Linked DNA regions of Elephas maximus indicus. Each later gene encodes a partner of the first gene's protein in a complex. Links are inferred from orthologs where the notes say so. Each region holds a gene or a part of one and is shown on either strand. Other genes may lie near its edges.

Evidence for each region.
Region 2: the proteins of SMURF1 (region 1) and SMAD1 are in contact, whole or in part, in an NMR structure (PDB 2LB1), measured with the Homo sapiens proteins. The link is inferred for Elephas maximus indicus from reciprocal best matches to the Homo sapiens genes SMURF1 and SMAD1. Residues at the interface, in NP_065162.1 of Homo sapiens: Glu313, Val314, Arg315, Ser316, Arg321, Tyr323, Val325, Asp326, His327, Arg330, Thr331, Thr332, Gln333, Phe334; in NP_001003688.1 of Homo sapiens: Asp221, Thr222, Pro223, Pro224, Pro225, Ala226, Tyr227, Leu228, Pro229, Pro230, Glu231, Asp232.

The regions. Positions count from the first base shown.
Region 1 is NC_064830.1:102,564,812-102,580,892, reverse strand, and holds the start of SMURF1 (E3 ubiquitin-protein ligase SMURF1), read left to right. Parts: upstream 1-7,510; 5' UTR 7,511-7,839; coding exon 7,840-7,894; intron 7,895-16,081. UniProt on the Homo sapiens protein: E3 ubiquitin-protein ligase that acts as a negative regulator of BMP signaling pathway. Mediates ubiquitination and degradation of SMAD1 and SMAD5, 2 receptor-regulated SMADs specific for the BMP pathway.
Region 2 is NC_064831.1:39,413,226-39,429,829, reverse strand, and holds the start of SMAD1 (mothers against decapentaplegic homolog 1), read left to right. Parts: upstream 1-8,624; 5' UTR 8,625-8,641; intron 8,642-8,842; exon of another isoform or gene 8,843-8,931; intron 8,932-9,899; exon of another isoform or gene 9,900-9,988; intron 9,989-16,604. UniProt on the Homo sapiens protein: Transcriptional modulator that plays a role in various cellular processes, including embryonic development, cell differentiation, and tissue homeostasis.

The DNA.
Region 1 (16,081 bases):
TGGTGATGTCATTCCTGAATTAATCGCTGCTGGTTAAAATTTTTTTCTATTGTAGTAAAAAATGTATATCATAAAATTTGCCATTTTAACAATTTTTAAGTGTACAGTCAGTGGCATTACATACATTCACAGTGTTGTGCAACCATCACTGCTATTTCTAAGACTTTTTCGTCATCCCAAACAGAAACTCTACAATCATAAAATTCACTGCTAATTTTTGAATGACTTCAGAAACCTGTTGTTGTTTGGTGCCATTAAGTCGATTTTGACTCACGGTGACCCCGTGTGTTACAGAGTAGAACTGGCCTACAGAGTTTTCTAGGCTGTAATCTTTATGGAAAGGAGCCTTGGTGGTGCAGTGGTTAAGCACTCAGCTGCTAACCAAAAAGTTAGCAGTTCAAACCCACCAGCGCCTCCTTGGAAAACCTGTGGGGCAGTTCGACACTGTCCTATAGGTCACTGTGAGTTGGAATCAGCTCAGTGGCAATGGGTTTGGTTTGGTGGTTTTAATCTTTACAGGAGCCGATAGCCAGGTTTTTCTCCCGCAGTGCTTTTGAGTGGGTTCAAATGGTCAACCTTTCAGTTAGCGGCCAAACGCCTTTAGAAACTTGCTGCCTAAGATATATGGCAAAAAGGCCACCTTCCTCATGCATCCTGGTGAAGCTGGTGACTCCTTCCCTTTCTCTCTTCATACCTATGTCATGTTGGTGTCCATGGAGAAGGGGAAAGCTTCAGCCGGGCTCTTCTGTCTGATTTATACATTTTGTTTTAATGATTTGTTTCTGTCTACTAACGTGGACACGTCAGGGATGATACCTCACTGACCTTTTTTAACTCCTTGCCTACTGGCACAATGCCTGGCACACAGAAGATTCCTGAGAAATGTTTGCTTAATATTGTACAGTACAACAAATGGGCTGATTTAGATGCAGCTGACTAGGAACCTTTCATGGGATTTACAGTCTTGAGTGACCCCGAGATGAAGGGGCAGATGGCATTAATTCCTAGGAGAGTAGAAGTGGCAACCTGGCCATATTCCTTCTGCTGAAAGAATTTGCTCCTTGGCTGTTGAGGTGTATTGATTGACTACTGGTCGTTTTCTAGCTTGGACAAACAATGGTTGTTACTTGCCATCGAATCAGCCCTCAACTGGTGGCGACCTCCCAACACACAACTAAACAAAATTGTGGTCCTGGACCATCCCCACGATCAGTTACGGATCAGACCCTTGTGAGCCACAGAGTTTTCGCTGGCTGATTTCCGGAAGTAGATCACAAGCTTTTCTTCCTAGTCTGTCTTAGTCTGGAAGCTCCACTGAAACCTGTTCGGCATCATAGCAACATGCAAGGCTGAGACGGGGTGGGAAGGTTGGGGGTAGCTATGAATTGGGGGCCTTGGCCAGGAATCCAACACAGGTCTCCGGTGGAAGGCAATAATTCTACCACCGCACCACCACTCCCTTGGACCAACAATACAACTTTTCTAACACTGGAAAAGAGGACTACTATTACAAATAAAAAACCTGTTGCCGTCGAGTTGATTCTGACTTGTAATGACCCTATAGGACAGAGTAGAACTGCTCCACAGAGTTTCCAAGGAGTGCCTGGAGGATTCGAACTGCCAACCTTTTGATTAGCAGCCATAGCACTTAACCAATATGCCACCAGGGTTTCCACTATTACAAATATGTGCATATAAACGACAAAATTGTGCTTTCTAAAATATGGTTCCTGGGAAAAGTCTCAAAGTCTTAAAACAATTCCTTGGTCTAAGTCCCGTTCATTCAGAGAGGCCTGGACACGCAGAGGGTTGATGCAGACTGGGGAGACGGACAGATGGACCAAAGTGTCTGCTTTAAGCACAATGCATGCTATGATACATGCCTAGAAAGGGGGGATGAACCTGGATTTGAAATATTTATCCTTAAAAACCTCTCACACTCACTAAGCAGGAATAAAAAAAAAAAAAACTAGTAATTAGGTCTCATCCCTCCCTGCACATACCAGATGCGACTAAACCCCAAATTAACTTAATTTGTTTATACTAGTGCCTTTAAATAATGAGGAGGTACAGCTCCCAGCCTTCTCCTGGTACTAGGGAAATCTTTGTCACATTTATCTGTGTGGGTTTCTATTTCTGCACCATCAGGGTAAGATAAAGGCTCCCCGAGTTAAACCGTGTATAGAGTATGCCCAGAGCTGCCTCAGTGACTGGTTCTGCACATCTGCACGACTGGGGAGTCAGGTCACCTCCTTGCCAACAGAAACTGTGGTTAATATTTGCCCCACATGGTGTTTGCCACACATGGGCACTTACAACAGCACTTTTTTGATAAGGAGAGCAAGAGCATCTAATTTATGAGTTTTCCAGTTGGTTTTAAATCATAGACCTACTTTAGCCTCTCCTCCTGACAGGCTGCTTCCATGTTGACAGTAGAGTCAGTAAGTACTTGGGGAATCAAATACCAACTCGAATTTAAATACCGGTATCTGTTTAATCAAACTATAAAATACCCATTGTCATCGAGTTGATTCTGACTCATAGTGACTCTATAGGATAGAGTAGAACTGCCCCCTAGGGTTTCCTAGGCTGCATCTTTACAGAAGCAGACTGCCACATCTTTCTCCTGCAGGGCAGCTGATAGGTTCCAACCGCCCACCTTTTGGTTAGCAGCTGAGCGCTTAGCCACTGCACTACCAGGGCTCCTTAAGCTACAGGCAACGTGTATCTGCTGCTGTCCTTCCCTGTCACATTCCTGAGACAGCCATTGGCCATCTGGGCCTATTCAGTATCCAGTCCTCTTCCTATTTAGGAGAAAGCCCCGTTGTGTGCAATTTTGGCAGGAGACAGCGTCCCATTTCCCACTACAAAGGTGAACCTGCCCTCGTCTTTCCTTCTTGCTGTCTGCAGGCAGCCAGGGCATGGGGCCTTATCTCTGCTCAGACTGGCAACTCCTTCCAGGGCTTACAATCTTGAGTGACCCCAAGATGTGGGTACTGAAAAAACCAAACCAAACCTGCTGCCATTGAGTCAATTTTGACTGATGGTGACCCCACGTGTATACTGAGTAGAACTGCCCCATAGGGTATTTTTAGCTGTGATCTTTATGGAAGCAGACCACAAGGCCTTTCTTCTGTAGCATCACTAGGTGGGTTTGAACCACCAACCTGTAGGTTAGCGGTGGAGCGCAAACCATTTGCACCACGCAGATGGCATTAATTCCTAGGAGAGCAGGCCGTACTCCTGCTGAAAGAATCTGCTCCTTGGCTGCTGAGATGTGTTTTCTAGCTTGGACTTAGAGTCGTCGAAGGATTCAATGATCCTCTGAAATTCTTCTAATGTGTTGCATTTTTGCTTAAGTTAGCGAGAGTTGTTTAACAGTCTAACGAAAACACCCTTTGTTTTGGATTTTGTACAACCCTGCTCTCTTGCATTAGTTAGGAGTTAACTGTCTACCTGGCTCTCAGATGCAAGCCGGAGTCAGAATCACCTGGAGGACCTGTTAACACACAGGTTGCTGGGCCCTGGGTTTCGATGCGTTAAGGCTATCTAGGACGGGACCTGATAGTTTTCATTTCTAACCGTTCCCAGGTGCTGCTGCTGCTCTGGCGACCCCACTTTTGAAAACCATTGGTCTAGAATAGACTCGATCTCCGTCCAACCCTGTCCAAAGACTAGTACGATATTTAGCCAATAAACAATGATTCGGGGTCTTACGTGGGACTTCCTCTGGGTTGATTTCCCTGGTTACTGTTGCTTACATGTTATAGGTGAGTTACGACGAATTTGGAGAATTTTTATTTGTCTTATTTTCCCAAACATATTTCTCCAAGGTAGTAGTAGCACTAATAGGTTTTGGAGTGAAGATGAGCCTGCACATTTTACTCATAAGAACTACTGTTTATTGAGTCCCTCCTATATTAACTGCTACTTCTACATCCATGATTTAATTTAAACCCCACAATAACTTTGCATGAGAGGCATTAGCCCCATTTTGGAGATAAGCAAAATGAGGTTTGGAGAATTTAATTACCTTCCTCTATCACCAGCTGGGGAAACCCTGGTGGTGTAGTAGTTAAGAGCTATGGCTGCTAACCAAAAGATTGGCAGTTCGAATCCACCAGGGTGCTCCTTGGAAACCCTTTGGGGCAGTTCTACCCTGTCCCATAGGGTCGCTATGAGTCGGAATCGACTCCATGGCACTGGGTGTGGTTTTGGTTTGGTTATCACCAGCTGGTAATGTGGTGGAGACAAGGTAGAGTGTGGGGCTGTGTGAGTCCACAGCTACTCTCTTTTTAGCACAAATTATGGCCTTCAAAAGGAGCAGTGACCGCACATGAGGTGCGCTGGCGGGGGATCTAACCTGGGTCTCCGTCAGGGAAGGTGAAACTCTACCACTGAACTACCACACCACCTCCCCCCAACACACACAGAAGGATATCCCCAAAGTTAACTGCTTGATCACTTTCTTTGGAATAGGGGTTCTTAATCTAGGGAGTATGGGCCATTATAGGATCCACGAATAGGTTTTTGGGGATAATGAACCCACTGAAGTTGGTAAAATTTGGTGTGTATGTGCACATATGGATTTTTCTGGGGAAAGGGTCCAGAGTTTCCATTAGATTCTCAAAGAGGTTTGGGACTCAAAACAGGTTAGAACTACTCAGTCAGAACAAAGAGAGATGCCCAATAACAGTGACACAAGGAAGTGGTACATACGGTGGAAATAGAATCAGTTGGCAAGCCTCCATAGAAGGCAGGGGCAAAACTGCTCTTTGTAAAGCCATTGCAAAGAGGACATTTGGAGGGACTCATTGAGTTTTTTTCAGCAGAACTGCTTGACATTTCATATCTATCTGGCCCAGAGATCTCTGGAAGGTAGTACTTCTGATGAAGGTTGATACATGGTGGAAGGACATCCAGGTAGTTCAATATGTGGGCTGGCCCAGCCGCAGAACGAAACAGCAGCTGATGATTTTTAAGTGGGCAAATAGCTTTTATCATTTTTATCAACTTTCAGTGGAGTAAAGTACGTGGGGAGAAGATATGGCAGCTATGCAGTCACACTGGCCTGGAAACACACTGGAAAATGCATTCACGGACACACCTCTGCACAAGTTGTTCAATCTGTCTGCATTTCCCTTCCTGCCTCTTTGCCCAGCAAACCTGAACCCTGCATTTAAGCTCCAGATCAAGGCCTGCTGTGACTCTTCTGAGACCTCCCCAGCCCTCTCCTCCTAGGCAGAATTGTCCTGCAACCCCTGGTCTAGCCCTCTGTACCCATCTCTGTCCCTCTACCATTGTTTCCCTGTCAACTGAGGCTCTGAAAAGCTAAAGTAGTAACCAGTGCTAGTTGCCGTCAAGTCGATTTTGACTCATGGTGACCCCATGTGTGTCAGAGTAGAACTGTGCGTCACAGGGATTTATTTTTTTGGAAGTAGATTGCCGAGACTTTCTTTCAAGGTACCTCTGGGTGGACTCAAACCAGCAGCCTTTCAGTTAAGCAGCCAAACAATGTTTGCACCATCCAGGGACTCCAAAATGCTAAAGCCATGACTTATTTTGTGTCCCTTGTCCCTAGCCACATAGTAGGTGGCCGATGTTGGCTGAGCAAACGCTAAATGTAGAAAGCATTAGCTACCATTCAGGTCCCCTCTGTACAGGCTGTGGTGAGATGACTATTTTGTGCATCTACTTAGATGACAACAGCAATTATGTGTTAATGAGTAAACAAGATGCCTCTTGGTAATCTCCAAAAGCAACCTCTTGACTCAAGGGTTGAAGAAATAAGCAAAGGAAGGCCCAGGCATCAAGGCAGGTGAGAACACAACGAGGTTAAGAAATGCCAGGTTTCTAGGGTGGAACAGCTGAGGCTTGGGACAGGGGCCAGTGCTCAGGTAAGCAGAGAGAGATGTTTGGTTTGGTTTGGGGAGAAGAGACTTCTTGAATTTGGGAATAAAGAGGAGAGAAGGGGGAATACTGACTGGACTGAAAGAAGAATGGCCATCACTTGGGGTGTCAGACAACACACTGAATGGATTTATTCAGGCCAAGGGACTCTCAGTCACAATTGCATAAAAAGAGAAACAGCTGGGTTCTGGGTCTACTCCTCTGTTGGTTAAACATAGCTTGTATTCTTGGATATTACACTAGAATCATTGCAAGTCTGAGCTGCAAGGGACCACAGAAATGATCTGAGCCCATCCTTTCATTTGATGCTTGAAGAAACTGAGGCCCCAAGAGGCAAAGCCTTGGGTCCAGCCTATGACAGACTGCTTTCACTGGGCTCAGCCAGAGGCAGGACGGCAGGGAACGTCCAGAGACTCTAGGCAGAGGGCTTTGTTCTGAAGACTGTGAGCTCAGGAAAGGCCCAAGGCCACAGGGAATGTGAGCAGTTGCCCAGACCCTGTCTGGCTTTTTAGAAAGAGTTGCCACTGAATGATTCATTGTGACCTCATATATGTCAAAGTAGAACTATGCTCCAAAGGGTTTTCAATGGCTAATTTTTCTGACATTGATTGCCAGGCCTTTCTTCCAAGGTGCCCGGTGGTCTGGAACCTTCATACGTTAGCAGCTGAGCCCATCACCCAGAGACACCATTTTTAGGACACAAACCAAATAAAGGCATTTAAAAGAATGAGGTATTTGGTCAATAACAAGTTTGATAAACCCACCTTTTCCTCTCGATTAACACGTTATTTCCTCTCCATATCGTATTAACAATAAGAGCCATTTGTTTGCTGGGAACGTCTAATGAGCCTTTAGCGAGCAGAAGGCGGGAAAACACGGCAGTAACTGCTAAACTGTATGCAGATTAGATATTAACCTCTTAACTTTATCCCTCTCTCAACTGTTGTTTACTTTGCCCACACAGGGCACTTCCTGCCATTCTGGCAACTTCCATACGGGGAAATCAGAGCGCAGGAGTTGCGGAGAACACACACCTAACGGACTTTGTCTCTGACAAGTCCCTCCCTTGAAACTGCATTATCGAAACACAAAATACGCTACTGAATGTCTGCTGGTGCAAGGTACTTAGTCTAGGAACAGGGCACCGACACAAAGGTTTCGTGTCGCCCGTCCTTCAACAGCTTATGAGGAGTCCCGGGCCTGGAGTCAGAGACCTGGGAAATCGGTTCCTTTCTCGGAACCTCACGTCCGCATTTGCACGTCGGCTCCCTGGGAACCGTCGCGGACACTGGAGGCGCCGGGGCGCGGGCAGCGCCGTCAGCCGCCTGTGGCGGACCCCGCGCGGTCCCCTCGCAGCCTCGCCGCCGAGGAAGGGGCGCGCCGGGTGCACCCCACGCCCAACGCCGCATCCCCTCCTGCAGGGCGCGGGCGAAGCCCCCAGGCCGGGCGCCAGGAGGCCGAGCTGCTGACGTAGGCGCGCGCCCCGCCCCGCCCCGGCGTGCCCCGCCCCGGCGTGCCCCGCGGGCGCGCGCACGCAAACGAGCGCGGGGGCGCACGGCCCGGGCGCGCGCAGGGCCGGGCCGGCACAGCGGCGAGAGCGCGCGCGGCTCCGGGAGGCGGCGGCGGCGGCGGAAGCGGCGAGGGCGGCGGGCGTCCGGCTCTGAGGTGGTGGCGGCAGTGGCGGCGGCGGCTCTGGACTGGGCTCGGCTAGGTGCGAGCGAGGGCCGGGGGGCGCTGGGGCGAGTGCCGATCCCCCGGCTCGACCATCCGCCTGCCGCCCGGACGCCTGGGCCGCGGAGTTTGTGTCCCGGCTCGGACCCCGGCGCCCAGCCCGGAGCCGTAACCTTGAGGCGGCGGCGGCGGGGCCGGACCGGTCCGGGCCGGGGGGCGGCGGCGCTGGATCCGCGGCCACCCGATCGCTGGCGGGAGATGTCGAATCCCGGGACGCGCAGGAATGGCTCCAGCATCAAGATCCGTCTGACAGGTACGGCCGGCGGGGGGCCCCCGCCGCCCCCAGCTCCCACTCAGACCCCGCGCCGCCCCTCACCAGCCCCGGCATTTCCCCCGTATCGCCCTTGGGATGTGTCCCTCCCCCAACCGGCCGTTGTCCCAGGACCTCCTCACCCCCCTCGGTGTGTGCCCCTTGTTGCTCCCGGCCCCGCCCCCTCGCTTCTGCCCAGGCCCCGCCCCCTCGCTTCTCTCCAGGCCCCGCCCCCTTGCCTTTCGCCCCCATCTTCCTACTTTCTTCCCTCCTCCCTCACACCTGCCTTCTTCCTTCTCCCTCCTGGCCCCACCCCCACGCTTCTCACCCCCACCTTCCAACTCTCTTCTCCCTCACACCTGCCTCCTTCCTTCTTCCTGGCCCCGCCCCTCGCCACCCTAACCCCGCCCCCTTACTTCCTTGCCTCTTAGCTCTCCCACTAAGGTCCCCTCACTTCCATCCTGGCCCCGCCCCTGCCTCTCCCTAACCACGCCCCCTTCTTCGCCTCCTAGCTCTTCTCCCACTATCGTCCCCTCGCTTCCATCCTGGCCCCGCCCTCGCCTCCCTAGCCCCGCCCCTTGCCTCTCCTTAACCCCGCCCCTTCCTTGCCTCCTAGCTCCTCTCCCACTGTCCTCCCCCACTTCCATCCTGGCCACGCCCCCTCGCTTCTCTCCTCTTGGCCCCGACCCCAGGCATCTCACCATTTCCCCCCAACTTTCCCCTCCTCTCCCCCCACCTGCCTCCTCTCATCTTTCTTCCTCACCCTCCTCACCCTCCCCTGGTTGCCCTCCCTCTTCCCCCACCTGTGCCTTCGCCTCTCCCCTACTGGCCCCGCCCCTTTTCTTGGCCACGCCCCTCGTTTTTCTCTAGCTCCTTCCTGGCTTATCTCCCATTCCTGCCCCCTTGCTGCTTTCTCCGGGGCCCCAACCCTTTCCTTGAGCTCGAGCTCCTGTTCTCCCGTCTAGCTTCTCCCAGTCCTCTTGCCTCACTTCTCCTTTGGTCCAGACCCCTTCAGTCTAGCCCACTTCCTTTTCCTCTCAGGCCAGACCACTCTCTGCCCTTGACGCTGCTGTTGCAGTTCGCGGCGTCTCTGTATTGCACTTGACCATCATCCTGCCACTCAACACTCTTGAGCCCCTCTTAGACACCCCCACCCCCGCACTGGAGGCTTTGGCAGCTGCAGAAACCAGGCTTCTTGATTCACTCTCAGTCTTCAGTGAAGAGTCCCTGTTTCCTTGGTGGCTCAGTGGTGCCACTTCAGGGGGGAGCGTGCCGCTCTGCTGTAGTTGGGATGTGTGCGAATGTGAACCTCCCTAGTGCGCTCCAGGGGTTCTGGACCAGTCTGCATCCTCGCCTGCCCTTTCTCCCTCCTCTTAGCTTGTTCCGGGTTCACCCTCTGCCCTTCCAGCTTAAATTCACGCCTAAGGCAGTTTCCTCCTGTTGCAAATGCGGTGTTGCTGGGGGACTTTCCAAACTCGAATATTTCCAGCTCTGGAAAGGAAAGAAAAAGTTTCATCTAATCCCTGTTACGGATTTTCCTCTCGATTTTTCCTTGTGCAGTTTCTGGCCTAGTGCGGATTCCGAAGCCAGTGTCTGCTCAGTTCCTTTCAAAGGAGAGAATGAGCGTTTTGAACACTTTATGGCAGAAACAGGAGCCCTGGTGGCACAGTGGTTAAGGGCTTGGCTGCTAATGGAAAGGTTGGGGGTTCCAAACCACCAGCTGCTCTACTTTATAAAAATGTGGCAGTCTGCTTCTCTAAAGATTGCAGCCTTGGAAACCCTATGGGGCAGTTCTGCTCTGGCCTGTAGGGTCACTATGAGTCGGAATCCACTGGACAGCAATGGGTTTTTTTTTTTTTTAGTTGCTCTGTGAGTGCCTTAACCAAAAAATAAAAATAAAAACACCAAAACCCACTGTAGTCAATTCGATTCTGACTCAACAGTTGGTGATTTTTTTTTTAAAACTAAAGATTCCCTCGAAACCCCATAGTTGTTGCATGATCCATTTTTTTGTGTCAAGGAAAGGGTTGTAATTATTTGTCCTTTTACAAGGATGTCAGATCAGGAATGACTTGGGCCCAAACCCAGACAGACCATGGTTTTGTAAGGTCACAGGTATATCCCATGGGTCTTTGCTTCTGGAGAGACGTTATCCTTTATACCAGGGCCCGGATATGAAAGACTTCTATGTGCATATATACATTAAACTATTTTTATGGCTACATAAAAGCCATGTTTTTGACATTGTAATACTTGTAAAACTTTAATTATTGACTGCTTTAATTTGGTTTGAATTTACAATATAATCTATAATTGATATTAGATCATTTTCTGTTTTCTTGCTAAAAGAGAAGTAACTGATTTTGTGAGTTTTGTAGAAATGCAACTCACGTTTTATAAGGAATAAGGTTTTAGTTACAAATGTATGTGTTAGATTCTAGGATATATATATCCTGGTTGGCAGGTCTGGGCCTAGTCCTTTTCCTTGTGAAAGAGAGGAAGATTGTTTTTGGATTCAGCAATCAAGATGTCATAGATACAGAAACGTTTCTGAGTTTTTGGATGACGTTGGATATTAAGGGATCAGGGATGATGAGTATTCTTTCTAAAGGACCTTTTCCCTTCCCCCCATCGTTAACTGCTATGGAGTTGGCCCCCGACTCATGGCTACCCCGTGCACAACAGAATGGAATGAAACACTGCCCTGTCCTGCTCCAGCCACGTGATTGGTCGCAGATTGAACTGTTGTGATCCATAGGGTTTTCATTGGCTGATTTCGGAAGTAAACTGCCAGGCCCTTATTCCTAGTCCATCTTAGTCTGGAAGCTCTGCTGAAACCTGTTCAGCATCACAGCAACACTCACACCTCTGCTAACAGATGGGTGGTGGCTATGCACGAGGTGCCTTGGCCAGAAACCGAACCTGGAAAACAAAGCTGGGTGTTGTGAGAAGTCTACCACAGAGCCACACTGCCCCTTTCCCGCTAGTAGATACTAGGAATGGATCTGAGAGGATGTGTGAGTGTGAGTGTCCCCGATACAGGATTGGCAGCTTAGTGATGATTGCAGAACACACATGTTGGCAGTTGTCTGTTGAATATTAATTTATGTGGAAACGCTGGAACGAACTGTTTTATTTGAAGATAGGCTTTGGCCTAATTTTTTAAGGTTGCTATGGGAAGTTTGAAATTTTTTCACTTTTGGCATATTGTGTAGCTATCTTTCAAAAGTAGACTACTTTTGTTACAGGTTTCACAGGTTTTTTTCCGTGTGTGGTTTTTGAAAATATGGCTTTAAAGCGAGGGACATTCTAGCCAGTAAACGAATACCACACAGAGCATAATTAAAGGCAAAATATAAAGACCTTGGAGTTATAAAAAAGCATTTAAAACTTTTGAATACATGATTGTATTTGGTTGTGGGTTGTTGTTTTGCGCCCTCAAGTCGATTCGGTCTAGACAGAGTGGAGCTGTAATCTTTACATGAGCAGATGGCCAGGTTTTATCTCCCAAGGAGCAACTGGTGAGTTCAAACCATCCACCTTTCAGGTAGCAGCCAAGTGCTTCATCATTGTGCCACCGGGATACCTTCGGCTGTAGGTAGAGCATTAGATTTAGAGTTAGGAGACCTGGATTCCGGTCATATCTACCATTAGCTGCGTAATATGGAACATATTATTTAACCTTCTGGGCCTCAGTTTCCTCATATATAAAATGAGATTTCAGTCTTCATTGTACCGTTCTTTGATTCTACTTTTCTCTCACAGGCTGTATGGGTTCGTATACCTGTGTACCCACATCACTGTGGGGCACTTATGCTTTCTGTTGTTAAGACTCAGTCCTGATATTCAGAAATTTGTGTCAAAGCACAGCACTTGGGTTTGACTTACGCCAAGCATTGATTTTGTGTATTGATTACATTTATGACTTTTTTTAAAACCTGTTTTGTTCCTGAAAATCTCTGGGTAATATGATGTTGAATTGCTTTATAAACGTGTTTTTAAGTAGTAGAAGAATGTTTGATTCTTTATATTTAAAAGGATATAACTTTAATGGATGTCTTTGTAGTATTTTAGCAGGAAAATAATTTTTAAAGAATTTCAGTAGGTTTTTTTGTTATATGCAAAATCAAGGGGTCTTTGCTAAAGAGCATTATCTTGGAGACATTTTAGAAGTCATGGGCAAAACACTTTGGGAACATTTTGATTTTAAATTCAAGCAGGATTTGCAAAATCTTTGTTCTTATGTGGTACACAAATGAGTCCCAGATACATTATTTTGGCCACTTTGGGTTAAAGAATGGAATTTTGCACCTGAAGGATTCCACAGTGCTGTTTGAGAAAATTAAATTTTACCCAAATGTTAATCAGTTGAAATACCAAATACCTAAACTTTCTTATGCTTTTGTGGCTTGAAATATTGTCAGACTTCCTTGTGCTTTTATATCTCTTGGAGCGTGACCGTGTATGTGAAGAGAGAAAAATTCTGATTGCAAGTGAAGAGGGGGAAGTCGACTTTCCTTGATAGCATGTGGAAATGAGAAGGATATTTTTAAAGCTGCAGCATATGGGATGAAAGGCCGACTTGGGTTTCAGCATCCAGATGGTGCACTTGGGGAAAAATAGTCGTAGCAATAACTGTTAATAACTTTAATTGATCGATAACAGGTGGCCTAATTGATTGGAAATAGTTAGGTTTCTTTTAAGAAAGATTTGATAGCTCTTAAGAATGTTGACTTTGTCAGTTTGTACCAGCTGAGGACCTCACTTATGTAAGGCAGGCTCTTCGCGAGTGGAACACAGTTGCTGCACTATGAAGGAATAAGTGATCGGTCTTTAGTGCCGCCTGACATCTAAAAAAAAAAGTGCATAACATTTTCCTTAGGGTCTGCCTCCAGTTTAAGAAGGTGTAGTCAAGGCACTTCTTTGAGCTTTATTATCAAGGTGTGTCAGATGGATTAGCTCAAATAGTGTTGTAAAACTTATTACATAAAAACAAAAATCACAATCTGCCCAGTACAGGTTCTATTACTGATTTTATTTGTGATTTGATCACATTTGTGTTGTCTTTAAAAAAAAAAAAAAAAAAGTTTTTTTTCCTCCCAAATTTGTGTTTTTTTCTTTGCATCTTATTGATCCATTTTAACTAACTTTACAAATGAAATATTGCATATACTTTTATGAGTCGGAATCTACTCAAGGGCAACTAGTTTATTTATATCTTCAGTTTTACAATAGTTGTGATTTATCAAACATTTTTGGCAAACGCGAAAGTCATTTCTGACGCTTGGCTTTTTCCTCTCTTCCACCAGTTTCTATTTATCCTGTTCGGTCACATTGTCATGTTGTAGTGTGGGCCATTGGGTAGAAGAAGGGGGGCGGGGTCCGAGGCCTGAGTCACTTGTATTTCCTCATGAATTAAAAAAAAAAAAATACTGACCCATAATATTTCCACATCAGCTCAATTGTCCGGTTAACTAGACTGGCTGTTTTGTAACACATTTGTGGGCTCTGGTCAAAAGTTAAAATAGCTGAATTGTGCATTTTACTGAGTGGTGAGAGAAAAAGGGAAGTTCAAAAAACCTTCTCAATCAGACAAAAGAATTTGACATCTTTGCAGTACTCTGAGTTTTTCTGATTGGGAAAGCCTAACTTTTAGCAGTCTTATTTGGATGAAATTTTTGTAATCTCAGAACCGTTTTAGAGATTAATTATCTTTAAGTGAATTAAAAAACCAAATCCGTTGTCATCGAGCCGATTCCCACTCATAGCAACCTTATAGAACAGAGTAGAACTGCCCCATAGAGTTTCCAAATAGCGCCTGGTGGATTCGAACTGCCGACCTTTTGGTTAGCAGCCGTAGCATTTAACCACTACGGCACCAGGGTTTCCTTTAAATGAAAACGGAGTAAAAAAGAAAAAAAATTTTTTTCCCCTCACCAAACAACATAAATCGGTGGTTTGCTTGTTTTGTTAAGTGAATTTTATGAAGAGAAAGCACCCAGCGTACACTGGCTTGTCCTCACTCACCCTAGCCAGCTAAAACCCCTCAGCTGTTCTAGTCAGAGACGAGCTGTAGAGCTGGGTTTAAAAAACACAAGCACGTAGCCATGTGCATGGACATGTCTCCTTTCTAAAATGTTAGACTTATGTACTGTGGTGTCTACAGATGCAATTTAATCCATTTATATATTTAAACTAAGTGGAATGTTGTTTCTACATTTCGGGATTAAAGGGAAAAAAACACCCTGTTATTGTTTTAAAAGAGGGCTTAAATAATGCGCAATCAGCGCGTCTGATGAGGCTCCCTACTCTGTAATTCCAGCTGTGTTCACCTCCATTGCAGCTGAAAGGAATTCTAATTGGCTGAGGAATGTCAGTAACATCATGTATCACTAAGCACGAACCTATTATGCTGGCTGCTGGGTGATGCATTTCAGATGTTTTCAGCTCCCGACCCCAACTTGGAGGTTGCTTTCAGGAGTCTGGAAGAGTGTTGTGAAGCTGTGGGATGCAGACGCAGCCTGCCTTCTTCTTAGGATGGCCATCCGCTGGGTGCTCTGTGGGCATCCTGCTTTCTTGTGCGTTAAGCATTGGCTCGGGAGGCAGAAAGTTCCATATTTTATTTCTAACTCCTGCAAGCGCCCACGGAAACCCTGGTGGCATAGTGGTTAAGAGCTACAGCTGCTAACCAAAAGGTCCGTAGGTTGAATCTACCAGGCGCTCCTTGTAAGCTCTATAGGGCACTTCTACTCTGTTCTATAGGGTCGCTATGAGTCAGAATCGACTCAACAGCATCAGGGTTTTTTTTTTTTTTTTTTAATTGCCCACAGTGAAGAAGGGGGCTGTAGAAGTATAATCTTCTTATGCCTCAATTTCCCTATGTGTAATGTGGGATACTGCTTTTTTATAACTCACAAGGAGCTGACAAAGATGGATGACATATTCTGATGAAGAGTTGGGAATTATAGAGTAAAAAAAAAAAAATAGAGTAGCACAGTATAAATACAGTCATGGATCCCTGTTGCTGCCTATTCCTAAATAACCCATGTAAATGATAAAGCTAATGATGTCTCTTAACACTGAAGAAAATCTGTAGAATTTGTTGATAAGCATGGACAAATAAAAAGTAAAAAAGAATTATTAAGTTCTCTGTGTATTCAGAAAGTTCCCTTGGAGAGAGATTGTTAGAAGCTAAAGCCAGCGTCATCAGTAATGGTAAAACTTTGGGAGCTTCCCGTTACAATTAGGATCACTACAGGGATGTGCACTGTCACAGTTGTTATTAACCAGAGAAAGACAGCAGAAAGGATAAAACAAAATTGCTGTTATTTGCAGGTGATATGATTGTGTACCTTGAAAAACCCCAAAGAATTGGATGAAGCACCATATAAACAGTAAAAAACTTTAGTAAAGTAGCTAGCTAGAAAATTTCTTCATGGTAAAAACATGATAAAATCAATATGCCAAGACAAGCTAGGAAAAAAATTTGCATCATATATATCAACATATATTTGCAACGTACGTAAATCTGGTTTCCTTAGTGTATAAAACCTGTTGCCGTCCAGTTGATTCTGGCTCATAGAAAGAGCTCTCAGAATCAATTAGAAAAAGGCCAGTAACCTAACTGGCAAAGGATATGGACAATTCCAGGAGCCCTGGGGGCACAGTGGTTAAGTGCTTGGCTTCTAACCGAAAGGTCGGTGATTCGAGCCCACCGGTAGCTCTGCAGGAGAGACGACCTGGCAGTCTGCTCCTGTAAAGATTATACCTCGGAAACCCTGTGGGGCAGTTCTACTCTGTCATATAGGGTTGCAATGAGTCGGGATCGACTTGAGGGCACACAACAACAACAGCAGCAACAATGACAGTGGACAGTTCACAGAAAAGAAGATGCACATGGTTTTGAACATATGAAAAGCTGTTCAGCCCTATTCGTACTAAACAAAATACAAACCAAAACTTAGAATGAGATACTGTTTTTCATTTAGTAGATTGGTAGAGACAAAAGAGTTTGAAAATATGCTATGAACACAAGGTATGAAAAGCCAGAACCCTTTTACACTGTTGGCTGGGGATGTAAATTAATAAAATAATTATGTAGGACAGTTTGGTACTCTCCGTCAGGTAATAAATGCGCATGCCCTGTGATCTGTTGATCCTGCTTTTAGGGATTTTTCTTACAGATGTAGC
Region 2 (16,604 bases), on another chromosome or scaffold:
TCTATCTCCAGGTCTTTGCACATGTCATCATAATACTTTGTCTTCTCGAGCCGCCCTTTGAATCTTCTGTTCAGCTCTTTTACTCCATCATTTTTTCCTTTTGCTTTAGCTACTCAATATTCAAGATCAAGTTTCAAAATCTCTTCTGACATCCATTTAGGTCTTTTCTTTCTCTCCTGTCTTTTTAATGACCTCTTTCTCTCTTCATGTATGGTGTCCTTGATGTCATTCCACAACTGGTCTTGTCTTCAGTCATTAGTGTTCAACTCATCAAATCTATTCTTGAAATGGTCTCTAAATTCAGGTGGGATATACTCGAGGTCCTACTTTGACTCTTGTGGACTTGTTCTAATTTTCTTCAATTTCAACTTGAACTTGCATATGAGTAATTGATTGTCTGATCCTCAGTTGGTCCCTGGCCATGCTCTGACTAATGATATTGAGCTTTTCCATTGTCTCTTCCACAGATGTAGTCGATTTGATTCCTGTGTATTCCATCTGTCCATGTCCACGTGTATGGCCACCGTTAATGTTGGTAAAAACTGGTATTTGCAACGAAGAAGTCAATGGTCTTGAAAAATTCAATTATGTGATCTCCAGCATCATTTCTATCACCAAGGCCATATTTTCCAACTGCCGATCCTTCTTCCTCGCTTCCAACTTTTGCATTCCAGTCTCCAGTAATTATCAGTGTTTCCTGATTACATGTTTGATCAATTTCAGACTGTAGAAGTTAATAAAAATCTTCACTTTCTTCATCTTTGGCCTTAGTGTTTGGTACATAATTTTTTTTTTCATGGTGATTGTATTTATTTTTCAAATTTCTGTATCCTATTGGTTTTTCTTAAGTAATTTCTAAAGCAGTTGCCTCCATGTAAACCATTACCAAATTTTCTTTCTTTCTTTTTGATTTTAATGTGCTTTAAGTGAAAGTTTACAAATCAAGTCAGTCTTGCATACAAAAATTTAGGTACACCTTGTTATATACTCCTGGTTGCTCTCCCCGTAATGAGACAGCACGTGTCTTCCCTCCACTCTCTATTTCCGTGTCCAATCAGCCAGCTTCTGACCCCCTCTGCCCTCTCATCTCCCCTCCAAACAGGAGCTGCCCACATAGTCTCATGTGTCTACTTGATCCTATATGCTCACTCTTCACCAGTATCATTTTCTTTCCCCTAGTCCAGTCCAAGCCCTGTCTGAAGAGTTGGCTTTGGGAATGGTTCCTGTCTTGGGCTAACAGAAGGTCTGGGGACCATGACTTCCGGGGTTCTTCTAGTCTCAGTCAGACCATTAAGTCTGGCCTTTTTACAAGAATTAGAGGTCTGCACGCCACTGCTCTCCTGTTCTCTCATGTGTTCTCTGTTGTGTTCCCTGTCAGGGCAGTCATCGGTTGTAGCCAGTCACCATCTAGTTCTTCTGGTCTCAGGCTGATGTAATCTCTGATTTATGTGGCCCTTTCTGTCTTTTGGGCTCATAATTACCTTGTGTCTTTGGTGTTTTTCACTCTCCTTTGCTCCAGGTGCGTTAAGACCAATTGATGCATCTTAGATGGCCGCTTGCTAGTGTTTAATATCCCAGACGCTACTCTCCACAGACAGATGCAGAATGTTTTCTTAATAGATTTTATTATGCCAATTGACTTAGATGTTCCCTGAAACCATGGTCCCCAAACCCCTCCCCTGCTATGCTCACCTTCAAAGTGTTCAGTTTATTCAGGAAACTTCTTTGCTTTTGGTTTAGTCCAGTTGTGCTGACCTCTCCTGAATTGTGTGTTGTTTTCCCCTTCACTTAAAATAGTTCTTATCTACTATCTAATTAGTGAAAACCCCTCTCTCTCCATTCTGCCCCACTCTTGTAACCATCAAAGAGTATTTTCTTCTCTGTTTAAACTATTTTTTGAGTTCTTATAATAGTGGTCTCATACAATATTTGTCCTTTTGAAACTGGCTAATTTCACTCAGCATAATGCCTTCTAGGTTGCTCCACGTTATGAAATGTTTCACGGATTCATCATTGTTGTTTATCGATGCATAGTATTCCATTGTGTGAATATACCATAATTTATTTATCCATTCATCCATTGATGGGCACCTTGGTTGCTTCCATCTTTTTGCTATCGTAAACAGTGCTGCAGTGAACACGGGTATGCATATATCTGCTTGTGTAAAGGCTCTTATTTCTCTAGGATGTACTCCAAGGAGTGGGATTGCTGGATCGTATGGTAGCTCTATTTCTAGTTTTTTAGGGAAGCACCAAATCGATTTCCAAAGTGGTAGTACCATTTTACATTACCACTAGCAGTGTATAAGTGTTCCAGTCTCTCCACAACCCCTCCAGCATTTATTATTTTGTGTTTTTTGGGTTAATGCCAGCCTTGTTGCAGTGAGATAGAATCTTATTATAGTTTTGATTTGTATTTGATCATGAGCATTTCCTCATGTATCTCTTAGCTACCTGAATGTCTTCTTTAGTGAAGTGCCTGTTCATATCTTTTGACCATTTTTTAATAGGGTTATTTGTCTTTTCATAGTTGAATTTTTGCAGTATCATGTAGATTTCAGAGATCTGATGCTGATCGGAAATGTCATAACTAAAAACTTTTTCCCAGTCTGTAAGTAATCTTTTTACTCTTTTGGTGAAGTCTTTGGATGAGCATAGGTGTTTGATTCGTAGCAGCTCCTAGTTATCTAGCTTCTCTTCTGCATTGTTAGTAATGTTTTGTATACTGTTTATGCCATGTATTAGGGCTCCTAGCATTGTCCCTATTTTTCCTTCCATGATCTTTATCATTTTAGATTTTATATTTAGGTCTTGGTGTGTAAATTTGAATGTTAGTTGTATTAACTGCTCTTCCTTGTAGGCATATCCTAGGTGTTAGTGAGCTGAAATGGAGTGGTATTGGCCATTTTGAATCAATCATATGATTTGCTATGCCAGAAATGACAAACTGAAGAGGAATGGCACCATATTCATTGTCAAAAAGAACATTTCAATTTCTATCCTGAAGTACAACACTGTTAGTGATAGGGTAAGATCCATATGCTTACAAGGAAGACCAGTTAATAAGAGTATTATTCAAATTTACGCACCAACCGCTAATGCCATAGATGAAGAAACTGAAGATTTTTACCAGCCTTTGCAGTCTGAAATTGATCAAGCACGCACTCAAGCTGCATTGATAATTACTGGTGATTGGAATGCAAAGTTGGAAACAAAGAAGAATCAGTAGTTTCTGAAAATATGCCTTAGTGATAGAAACGATGCTGGAGGTCACATGATAGCATTTGGCAGGATCAATGACCTATTCATTGGAAATATCTTTTCTTAACAGCATGAACGGTGGCTATACACGTGGACCTTGCCAGATGGAACACACAGGGATCAAATGGACTACATCTGTGGAAAGATAATAATGGAAAGACTCAATATCATCAGTCAGAACAAGGCCAGGGGCCAATTGTGGAACACACCATCAATTGCTCATATGCAGGTTCAAATTGATGCTGAATAAAATTAGAACAAGTCCATAAGAGCCAAAGTACTACCTTTTGTTTATCCCACCTGAATTTAGAGACTATTTCAAGAATTGATTTGACGCATTGAACATGAATGACTGAAGACCAGACAAGTTGTGCTAGGACATCATACATGAAGAAAGCAAGAGGTCTTTAAAAAGACAAGAAAGAAAGACAAGACCAAAATGGATGTCAGAAGAAACTCTGAAACTTGCTCTTGAACATCAAGCAGCTAAAGCAAACAGAAGAAATGATGAAGTAAAAGAGCTGAACAGAAGATTTCAAAGAGTGGCTAGAGAAGATGAAGTGAAGTGTAACGACATGTGCAAAGACCTGGAGATAGAAAACCAGAAGGAAAGAATATGCTTGGAATTTCTCAAGCTGAAAGAACTGAAGAAAAAATCCAAGCCTCAAACTGCAGTATTGAAAGATTTTATGGGCAAAATATTGAATGATGCAGGAAGCATCAAAAGAAGATGGAATACACAGAGTCACTGTACCAAAAAGAATTGGTCAATAGCCATTTCAGGAGATAGAATATGATCAAGAATGGATGGTATTGAAGGAAGAAGTCCAAGCTGCACTGAAACTGCAAAAAACAAGTCTCCAGGAACTGATGGAATACCAATTGAGATGTTTCAGTTAACGAACAGATGCAACACTGGAAGTGGTCATTTGTGGATGCCAAGAAATTTGGAAGACAGCTACCATGCCAACCAACTGGAAAAGGTCCATATCTGTGACCATTCCAAAGAAAGGTGATCCAATAGAATGTGGAAAGTATCAAACAGTATCAAAATATCACACGCAAGTGAAATTTCACTGAAGATCATTCAAAAGCAGTTGCAACAGTATATTGACAGGAAACTGTCAGAAATTCAAGCCGGATTCAGCAGAGAACATGGAACAAGGGAGGTCATTGCTGATGTCAGATGGATCTTGGCTGAAAGCAGAGAATACCATAAAGACATTTACCTGTATTTTATTGACTATGCAAAGGCATTCCACTGTGTAGAACATGACAAATTATGGATAACGTTGCAAAGAATGGGAATTCCAGAGCACTTAGTTGTGCTCATATGAAACCTGTACATAGACCAAGAGGCAGTTGTTTAAACAGAACAAGGGGATACTGCACAGTTTAAAGTCAGGAAAGGTGTTGTATCCTTTTGCTGTACTTATTCAATCTGTATGCCGAGCAAATAATCTGAGAAGCTGCTAAAGAAGACTATGGCATCAGGATATGCAGTAGGACTCATTAACAACCTGTGTTATGCAGATAACACAGCATAGCTTGCTGCAAGTAAAGTGGACTTGAAGCACTTACTGACGAAAACCACAGCCTTCAGTATGGATTACACCTCAACATAAAGAAAACAAAAATCTTCACAGCTGGACCAATAAGCAACACCATAATAAACAGAGAAAAGATTGAGGTTGCCAAGGATTTCATTTTACTTGGATCTACAATCAACACCCATGGAAGCAGCAGGCAAGAATTCAAACGATGTATTGCATTAGGCAAATCTGCTATAAAACACCTCTTTAAAGTGTTAAAAAAGCGAAGATGTCACTTTGAGGACTAAGCTTAGCCTGACCCAAGCCATGGTATTTTCAATCGCCTCGTGTGCATTTGAAACCTGGACAATGAATAAGAGACTACAGAATTGATGCCTTTGAATTGCGGTGTTGGGGAAGAATATTGAATATGCCATGGACTACCAGACGAACAAACAAATCTGTCTTGGGAGGTGTACAGCCACGATGTTCCTTAGAAAGAGGGACGGCAAGAATTTGCCTCACGTTTTTTGGACATGTTGTTAGGAGGGGCTAGTCTCTGGAGAAGGACGTCATGCTTAGTAAAGTAAAAAGTCAGTGAAACAGAGGAAGACTCTTGATAAGATGGATTGACACAGTGGCTGCAACAATGGGCTCAAACACAGCAACAGTTGGAAGGATGGTACAGAAGAGTGTTTCCTTCTGTTGTACATAGGGTAGCTATGAGTTGGAACCAACTCCATGGCACCTAACAACAAAAGCAACAAGTGAAACATCCATAGACAAGCAGGAAAAGAGGATATAAAATATGTGTGTGAGGGGTCGGGAGGGTTGCTGGAGTGGCCAGGGCAAGCATCACTGAAATGGGGGCAGTTGAGTAAAATCTTGAGGTGAGGGAGTGAGCCAAGTGGCTGACTCTGGTAAGCACTTTCCAGGGAAGGAACAGCTAGTGCAGAGGTATTGAGGCGAGGGTGTGCGAGGGTCGTTCCAGGGCTAGTGAGGAGGACAGACATACTTGAGGAACTCATCAGGAGTAGGACACAGGTCAGAGAGGTAAATAGGGGTGGGGATTGAAGATCATGGAGGGTCTTGCGCACATTGTGAGAACTTCTACATTGAATGAAAGAGGAGCTGAGAGACAGAAAGAGAAAGACAGAGAGAGGTTGTTTGTTTTTCGATACAATGATGTTTAACAGACAGTCCATATTCAGGTATTCACTGTTGTTCCAATAATGTCCTTTCCAAACATGTACCTGAATGTTTACTACCACTTGAAGAAATAACTTTCACAATGTGCCAAATCAAATTCCATAGTATTTGTAGTATTAATAGCTATTATTTGGGATTACTAGTGGTGCACTGAGAAAGGCCGTCCACAGGTTAGAAAAAACATGAACAGCTTTATAATATGATTTTATCGCTCTTCCCCTCAATCCAACATACAAGCGAGCACCATATGCTGCATTTAGTTAAGTGTTTTTTAACAGTTTTATTGAGATATAATTCACGCATTTAAAGTATACAATTCACTGGCTTCGAATATAGTAACAAAGTTGTGCAAACATCACCACAAACTAATTTGAGGACATTTTCGTTACCCCCCCAAAAGAAACCCTATACCCTTTAGCCAGCATTCCTCCAAACTCACCTTTCTCTCAGCCTTCCAACACAACAACCAACCCACTACCATCCAGTCGATTCCCACTCACAGCGATACAGGACGCAGTAGAACTGCCCCATGGAGTATCCAAGGAGTGCCTAGTGGATTCAAACTGCTGATCTTTTGGTTAGCAGCCATAGTTTTTTACCACTATGCCACCAGGGTATTTCCCCCCTGCCTTAGGCAACCATGCATCTACTTTCTGTCTCTACGGATTTGCCTGTTTGGAACATTTCATATAAATGGAATCTGGAATCATACAATATGTGTCTTTTGTGACTGGCTGCTATTACTTAGTGTAATGTTTTCAAGTCTCACCAAGTTGTAGCATGTGTCAGTACTTCACTTCTTTTATGAATGAATAATATTCCATTGTATGGATACGGAGCTCTGGTGGCACAGTGGCTGCTAGCCAAAAGGTAGTCAGTTCGAATCTATCAGTGGATGCTTGGAAACCCTACGGGCAGTTCTACTCTGTCCTATAGGGTCGCTGTAAGTTGGTATCAGCACCATGGCAATGGGTTTGATTTATCAAGGATTTTTATCACATTTTGTTTATTGAGGAAGGATTTTGAGCAGAGGAATGACCTGATTGGACTGGCATTTAACTAGGCTTACTCTGGCTGTAAGTAGCCCTGGTGGTGCAGTGGTTTCAGTGCTTGGCTGCTAACTGAAAGCACACGTGGGTTTGAACCCACCAGCCACTCCTTGGTAAAAAGATGTGGCAGTCTTCCATGAAGATTTACAGCCTTGGAAAGCCTATGGGGCAGTTCTGCTCTGTCCCACAGTGTCGCTAATAGTCGGAACAGACTCCAAGGCAGTGAGTTTGGTTGGTTTTGACTCTGGCTGTTGTTCTAAGGAGCAGAGAGTGATCAAGTGTGTCAAATGCTGCTGGTAGGGAAAAGAAGATGAAGCCCAAGAATTGACCAGTAAGTGCTCAAATAGTTTAACAAAGAAAGCAATTAAGTTAGCAAAAGTATTCTGCTATTTAATTTATAAAGGGTATTTTATGAGTTTTATGGAATTTGTTGCATTTCCCTTGAAAAATTAAAATGGAATGAAAAATAATAATTATTAAGAAGAATTTAAAATGGTATGCCAGATTTCATAAGGGCATATGAACCATTGCAGAGTATCACTTATTTATGTAAGTCTTTGGTATTTTCTTTACTGTAAAAAATGGTGTAGGAATTCTTTTGGTTCATGTGAAGCTTATTCCTCAGAATAATTATTTTCCTCTATGCTAACTCAACAATATGGTAATTATCCAAGATTTTATGCCAGCTTCTAGAAGGTTGGCCAAGAGAAAAACTGACTCTTAAGAAAAGATACTTTCAATGTCTATGCAGGTCAGGTGGGTTGTGCAGATCAGGTAGATGAGAGCTAGTTTTTCTTTGCGGGGCGGGGGGGAGTTGTGTGTTCTAAAAGATAGTAGAAATTGGACCAAACAGACTTCTAAACTCCTTTCAGGCATCTGTTATTATTTGGAGCCAAGAAGGTGAACTATTCAAATTATTGGACCCCAAATTGGCACAAAACACATCTTTTGATTTAGGGTTGGTATGAGCGGAATCGAGGGCACTGGGTGGGTTACGAGTACATGGCCGGAGAAAGATGTGGCAGTCCGCTTCCCTGAAGATTACAGCCTTGGAAACCTATGGGGCAGTTCTGCTCTGTCCTACCGAGTCGCTGGTGAGTCGGAATCAACTACATGGTAAGTTTGGTTTTGGGTTGTGAGCGCATGCAATAGTTACTCGGTCATCCAAGTTTAGATACCCGCAAATTCTGAGGCCTGCAAATCATTCGGGAATGAGGGGCTATGAAAACTTGACCTAAGAAGAGGTCTCGGGAGATAATTGCCAAAAATACACTCCACGTTTACAGTGTGGTTCGGTGGGTGCGGTGGATGTGTTAATGAGTATTTCAGAAAATAAACACGCAGAACACTGAACTTCGCTAGCAGAGAATGCACTAAGACCTCAGCAGCTGGATTAAAAGAGGTAGGTTCAGGAAAGCCAGCACGCAGCGTTCTTTTTCCTTCTTGGGGCGTGGGGCTGGGGGCGGTCGCTCGGGCCGCTTCCCCGCGCTGTCCGCGGGCCCCGGCGCCGCTGCGCTCGGGCCGGCCCAGCCGGGAATTTGGAGAGGATCCCTGGTCGCGCGGCGGAGGCGGCGGCGCGCGAGTGCGCGTGTGAGCGAGCGAGCGGGCGGGCGGGCGAGTGCGCCGGGTATTGGCAGCGGTGCAGTGGAGGCTGGGCGGCTCCGACTCCCTGACGCCAGCGCGACCAGATCAATCCAGGCTCCGGGAGCAAGCGGGCGGGAGGAGGAAGGAGAAGCCGAGCGCCTTAGCCCGGGCAGAGGAACAGGGAGGCACCCTGCGAGCGGAGCGCGGCGCAGCGCCCGGCCGGCCGGACCCGGGCGGCGGGACCCCGCTCGCCCGGCCATTCGTGCGCCCGCACGGACGGGCGCGCCGCCAACCCGGTAAAACGAAACAGAACCGAACCCAGCTTGCCTTGCTGCCGTCTCCCCTCCGCGCCCGAGGTTTCCCAGAGCCGCCGCTTGAGCCGGCGCGGACGGCACGGGCTAGCGGGCGGGCCGGGGTGGTGCGGGGTCGGCGGCGCGACTGCCGAGGGGAGGGGGTTCTGCGCCGCGTGGGGCGAGCCGGGAAGCGGCCCCCTCCCCCACGAGGGCGCCTCCCCGCCGCTCGCAGGAGAGAACCTGCCACCTCGGCCGCCGCCTCCCTTCGCGCCCAGCCGGCCGGGCAGGGCTCCGCCGGGGTTCCCCTCGCGTCTTTGTTGGGTCTGCGCCGGAGAAGCCGCATTCCTTGGCCTTGGAGCCTCGCCCCCGGCCCTGCCCGCGGCGGGACCTCTCCGGCCGCCCTCCCCCTCCGCCTGTTCCCGGTTTCTCTTTCCCGGTCTGCAGCCGGGCCGCGTCCGTGTGCGCGGCCCGCGGACCCATTGTGTCCCGCGCCGGCAGGGCAACCCTTGCGGGAGTTGGAGAACCGGCGCCGGCGCTGCCGTTTACGGGCTCGGGGAGCGGGGCTCGCGGGAGGACGACACGGGTGCCCTGGCCCCTCCGCATCGCAAAGGGTTGCCTTGTCTGTCCCAACGAGCGCGCCTTTGGGGTCGAGGTCAAGGAAAGTTCGCACCGAAATTCTAATTTATTCAAAGGTTTGGCGGCGCGTAATTTTTTTTTTTTTTCGTCTTCCGCCTACGCCGCCTGCGTCTTCAAGTGTCGTCTCATTCCTTTCCCTTTACTGGATTCGATTGCCTCACTGCATGTGTATTTGTGAGTTCGCTGTGGAACAACTGTTCTTTTCCCTGCTCCCTGCCTTTGTTAGGTGTTCTCGGGGTTGTTTGTATTGGAAGATGGGGATGGTGGGTGTGAGAGAGACAGATGTGGGCTTGTTTTTCTAGTTGCTGAGTATATATGAAGGCTTCCAGGGAGAGCGTTTCCTTGATGTGCTTAGGAAGGGAAGAGGAACAAATGCCTGGCGAATCTTACAACTCCAGTAGCTGCGGCTCCTGTTTCTTTGGAGGTACATGCAGTTTTTAAATACACTGCGCAAGATAATCAGGAAGGCGCTTTCCTTCTGAAAACTGAGGCCCGTCTCAGAACCATCTCCTGAGGAAAGCAGCGTTTTCGTGAGTGCTGTGACAACTGGCCTTTTTCTTTTCACTCGTGTTTTTTTTTTCTTAATTGCCATTGTATCTCAAGTTTCTGAATATGTGGAATGATACAGAAGTTGCATGATTGCTGTGTGTCTTCTGTGGCTGAAACGCTTTGCACCTAAATCACAGAATGCCTTTATTTCAAAACATCTCTCGCTCAGATCGTCTCTCGTGGATAACATGCCCACACTTCAGTAACACAGTGAGAAAACTGTTCTCTGCCTGTGTTGATTTTTCGCCTTGTTTATAATTACCACTCTAAATTTTATCGGAGGTAGGTGAGCCGTATTGGAGGAACCACTACTTAAAAAGAACTGAGGCAGAACGGCTGTTCACCGCCCCAGAATTGGCATACATATTTTTGCACCAGTGTTGTATGATTCTGATGTAGATGCAAGGCCTGACTGTGCTGTTCTCATGAAAGTGTTTATCCTCCCTCTGTCTTTCCCATTTGCAGTTATTTGATATTTCTGTGAGGTGGTATACCATTTGTGTAATACTGCAGTTCTTAGGAAACGGTAAACGGGGTCGTTCGAGATGGTTTTCTGGAGATGGGTGATGTTGGAGCCTCTAGAGGATCCAGGCGGGATCAGGTTTCTTCTAAGGGTGGGGATTTGTCCTTGATTTAGTTTTGACCCTTCCAACCATAGGTATGTAACCAAATACGTTTTTTCTTCTGCAGTATCTTTTATACTCTTGAAAACCTGATGACCTTTGCATTCTAGAGAAATGACAGTTTTTAAGGAATTAACAGTGTCAGCCTCTTGCACCTTTTAGAATTGAAGTAAAAAAAAAATTTTTTTTTCTACTAAGTTCAGATGAAGCATTAAAAGGAAGTAAGGCACATTTTCCTAAATATATTTATGAGTTCCGAACTAAATTTCAGTTTGTAATTGCAATTTCTAGTAATTCTGGGTCACGGATAAAATTAATAATTTGGTAGACTGGGAAAAGAATAAACTTGATTCTAATTAGACGAGTGTATTTGAGCTGCAGTAGCCTACTTAATCAAGGCCAAGTTGTGTGTATAAAAGGTCTCATTTGTGTAGTCTTACAAGGCTAATGGAGGCATCACTGAAGCTTTATAAATAATGTAAGTTGTGTATAATGTAGAGTCTCAAGAGACGGCAGAGAAAGCATCATTACCAGCCTTTTCAACCTGCTTGAGATCTTAAATTGATTTACAGCACTGAACTGGTGCAAAATGATACATCAGGATGACTTGGGGTCAGCCTGTAAAAGTCTATGATGTCAGCCTATTAGTTCAGTCATCATAATTAAACCATATTACGGGGGCAGCTAAGCAGGAGTCTGGCGTTATCCTTCAGATATGGGTGGTGCATGAGTTTTGTTTATAGTGCAAAAGACTAAATGGCCAAGAACCCTAGTGTGTCTGAAGGAGGGGGAGGCTTATGGAACTCTGAATTTCTGAAAAAATTGAAAGTAAATGCAGAGATGTTCAGTCAGCATAGTATAAGTAGCTTTCTGTTTGGTAGTGGAGAAATAGATGCTTTGAGGGTACTGGTAAGGCAGGACCGCAGCAGCTCTGATCCGTGTACTGAATCATGCTTCATGTGAGCTGGAATTTAACTTGGCCTCGGGGACTTTCTAAAATACCAGCAGAACCCATATCTCTTATCTTATTAGCATGGGTTCTCACTGTATCGATGTATCAGCTGACATGTTATTTCTTTGACTAGTCATAATTACTAGGACTCCACTGAAACCAAACACTTGAACATATGAACAATTCAGGAAAAGAAAACTCCTGTTTTTGCTTAAATTTTTGGTAATCCTTACTCAGTTCGTGGATCATCTATGACTGTGTTGCACAGTAAGGTAGCCACTAGCGAAGAATATTGACTGTACCGTGGACTGCCAGAAGAATAAACAAGTCTATCTTGGAAGAAGTACAGCCAGAATTTTCCTTAGAAGCGAGGTGGCGAGACTAGTCTCACATACTTTGGACATGTTATCAGGAGGAATCAGTCCTTGAAGGAGGACATCATGCTTGGTAAAGCAGAGGGTCAATGAAAAAGAGGAAGACCCTCAAGGAGGTGGGTTGACACAGTGGCTGTAACAACGGGCTCAAACATAACGATTACGAGGATGGCGCAGGACCAGGCGGTGTTTCGTTCTGTTGTACACAGGGTTGCTGTGAGTCCCACCCGTCTTTGACGCCCCTAACAACAACAGCAGCTACGTGTGGCTGTTTAAATTATTTAGTATTAGATAAAAATTTATTTTCTCAGTAGCAGTAGCTGCGTTTAAAGTGCTCCGTAGCCACACGTGGCTGGCGGCTGCCCTATCAGATAACGTATATATAAAAACATATCCATCACTCCAGAAGGTTCTACTGGACAGTGCTGCTCTGGGACCTCTGCCTCTTGCTCCCTTTACTTTTTCGGTGGCTTCTTTGCTTGTTACCGCTACTAATGATTTTGTGGGATCAAAGAGAAAGACAAATCAACTAATTTTGTTATTAGTTAGTTGCTTTTGTAAAAATAAGCAGTTTAGAAGTGACAGCTGAAGCTTCTGGATAAAATGAGGTTGACTTTTCTCCGGATCTTATTTACCATTGGCCTCATGGATCCTTATTTGATTAGCGCTTTGGGTAAGAGAAGTAATGGTAGCTTTTTTTTTGGTCTTTACTATGTGCTAGGCATTGTTTTAATATGCATAGTATCTCATTTAAGCCTCAAAGTTTCCCTAAGTACTATTGTTAATCACATTTCACAGGTGAAGAAACTGAGGCCAGAGTGATTTAGTGTATTGTCCCAGGCTCCATAGCTAGTAAATAAACATGGTTAATAATCTCAGCTGGGATAGGAGCAAGGCAGTCTGACTCCAGAGCCTCACTCTTAACTGTGTTTTTTTTTTTTGTATTTGAGTCTAGAATACCCAGATAGTCATTGTTTGGCTGTGCTATACTATGTCACTATAGACATGACTTTGCTTTTATTTTTTGTACTTTCAGACAGGTTTGTCCTCTGTTGTGCTTTTCTGGGCTGCCTTCTCCTGGAATAATGTTAACACTTTTCTAAGCAGAACATAGTTGGAAGAATAGATCTGACATAAAAGTAGTGCATTTCAAAGGCAAATTAGTCGAATCACCTTCTTTTCTGGATCACTCCTGCCACTTTCTCCTGTTGTTGTCTTGTACATCACAAGCTGATTGTACTGATGAGGAAAGTACTAGTAGTTCAGTTTATCTCTTCAAAATTAGTCTTGCGGGAGCTGTTAAAACACTGCATCTTGAGATAAGAATAGTTCATTGTAAATTCCCAAAGATTATTTTTTTTTTAAATGTTTAATGTCTATACTTTGTGTAATGTCTTACAATTCAGTAGTTTTCAACTTTTTGGGGGGATGGGCAGGGCTGTTTAAGAATCTAATGTAACTATGGACACTATATCTTCTCCTCACTCCTGTTCTCTTGCCCAAAAATGCTTATGTGCCCTCTTGAGCTTGTGTGTGCACATACGCAGATCGCAGGTACGTCAGGTGAGTTATATTCATGGACTGCCTCGTCGGGTGCTTTCATAAACATTAAAGATTTGTGATTTCCTTTACAGCGAATATAGACATTTAGTGTTCTAGAGATTTTCTAATGAGTTGGTTCACATTAAGATGAGAAATTTGAGGCCCGGAGAGGATAACCAGCTTGCCCAAAGTTATCCCTCCAGTGATTGAACGAAGGGAAGCTAGAACCTGCCTCTGTCTCTTTGTGTTTAAATACGGAATTCATTTCTTGGTTTTTTTCTACTCCACTATATTCCTGAGGTTTTGGTCTGAGCATAGCAGCATAATTTGGCAAGAGAAGGAAAGAAGAAATTTTTGGCTTGATGGTGACTTTTTCTACCCAGCACTGTTTGAGCTGAGTAGGAATCAAGTCTGACACCTGCAGAGAGAGGTTCGTTTTTTTACAGATTAGTATTGATTTTTTTTCTTTCTAGTGATAGAAAAGAAAAGCCTTGCATCCAGTTTAATAAATGGGACATTACTAGAGAATGGGAGAGCCGAGATTGTACAAAATTCAAAGTAAGTCATAATGCAGATATACCCTTCAGGCAGGCAATTCTGATATACAGAGCAAAACACAACTCTCTTTTGAATCTTAAAAACAAATCACATTCCTAACCGAAAGCTGAAGTTTGGGAGATTAGGGAAGGAGCTAGAGGTTCCTGGGAAGAGAGCTGGAAAGGTCTGAGGAGAAAAAGGGATAATTTAATGTAAAAGATGGAGAAAATTGTCACTAAGTCGTAAGATAAGAGGCTAATGAAATACTCTGTCATAGTATTTCTACATGTGGTTTTCCTTTCTGATGCCAAGATTAGCAGGGTGTACTTTGATAACAACAAATAGGAGTACCTCCTGTTTGTCCCAGACTGAAATCTCATGACTCTTCGTGTTCCTTTTCTGTTATCTGGTAGTGCAAATATTCAGTCTCATCTAGTGCGCTATCAACTGATTTGCAGCAAAAACTCCTGAAGTATCTGGAGTAGTTTCCTTAAAAAAAAGAAAAAAATGGGCAGCTGCAGCTAACTAGCATGAATGTAATTACTTCAAATCTAAAATGAAATCTTTGTTTTGGTGTGTATTATTAAGATGGGGTCAGCTTTAGAGATGCACTGCTAGTCCTATAGGCAAAAAAAGTAACATTTACAGCTATGGCTGGCTGACATGCAGGTTCTGCAGGACATTTATTTGTATAAGGGAAGCTCTTTTTCAGACAAGAAAAGCTAAACATTCATAAACAGTCGTACTCCAGTGAATACATCAGAATTTCAGGAAGATACTGGAAGCTGCAGTGACTGAACAGTTTAACAATTTTTGTAGTAAACTGAAATCTTTAGGGAAGATTTTAAAAACTTTAGGGAAGACTTGCTTTTGCAAATAAGCATCAAACCCTTTAAGGTTTGAGAGAGTCCTTACCTGCTGATTCTCCCAGATCTCTTCTCTGCTCAGTTCCTAGTGTTTTGATGAGGAGCCTTATTCCTTTTAAGAATCCGGGTCTGTGGTATGGTGAATTGATTTCTGAACTCATTTTTTAAGATAACAAGCCCGAATTAAAAACAAGCACACCTACAAAGAAGTTAATTGTGTACGCGTATGCTTTTGAGCTCATGGTGTAAATAAATGTTCCCTGTGTCATGGTGGTGTAGTGGTTAAATGCTATGGCTGCTAACCAAAGGGTCAGCAGTTCGAATCTGCCAGGCGCGCCTCGGAAACTCTGTGGAGCAGTTCTACTCTGTCCTATAGGGTCGCTATGAGTCGGAATCGACTCGACGGCACTGGGTATGTCATGCTTGGAAACCCTGGTGGCATAGTGGTTAAGTGCTATGGCTGCTCATCAAAAGATGGGCAGTTCAAATCCACTAGGAAATCCTTGGGAACTCTATGGGGCGGTTCTCTTCTGTCTTATAGGGTTGCTATGAGTCAGAATCTGCTCGGTGGCAGTGGCAGTGTCAGGCTCGGTCTTCTGTCTATTGAGTAGAAAATATATTTATAAACATGATTTTTTAATGCCTTATTTGTAGTTTTTCCCTTAACTTTAGGGCTCCTGTATTATAGATATTTTTTTCTTCTGATCTGGGATTGTTTATATAGGAAACCCCGGTGGCATAGTGGTTAAGAGCTGCAGCTGCTGACCAAGAGGTTGGCAGTTCAAATCTACCAGGCACTTCTTGGAAACACTGTGGGGCAGTTCTACTCTGTCCTGTAGGGTCGCTATGTGTTGGAATTGACTCCATGGCAACGAGTTTGGTTTGGTTTTCTCAAGCTATTCATTTATTTTGCTCTCCTTGCCCATCTTTTGTGGTTTCTTTGTGATGTGCTTATACAAAGTGGAAGTATTTCAGATCTTTGTAGCTTCTTTCTTTCAGTTTTAAGCATTGTCATTAGTTAGTTAGATAAACTCAAGAGCTTTTGTTTATTTAGAGTGAAAGAAAGCATGCCTTTGTGATGGATATTAAATATGCCCTCATTTGATAATTTTGATGTATTATAGTAAGCGAGGAGCCCTGGTGGCACAGTGGTTAAGCGTTCAGCTGCTAACCAAAAGGTCGATGGTTCTAATCCACCAGCTTCTCCGTGGGAAAAAGATGTGGCAGTCTGCTTCTGTGAAGATTTACAGCTTTGGAAACCCTATGGAGCAGTTCTCCCCTGATCTCTTAGGTTGCTATGAGTCAGAATCAACTCAACTCCGGTTTTTTTAATTACAATAAGCAGGAGTCCCTGGGTGGTGCAAACAGTTTAGTGCTGGGTTACTAACTTAAAGGTTGGTGGTTTGAACCTACCCAGAGGCACCTCAGAAGAAAGGCCTAGCAATTTGCTTCCGAAAGGTTACAGCTGTGCAAACTCTGTGTTGTACAGTTCTACTCTGAAACACATGAGTCACCAGGAGTCAGAATTGATTTGATGGCAGCGGGTTTGGTTTTGGTTTATTATAATAAGTATATGCTTCATTTAGTCAATGAATAT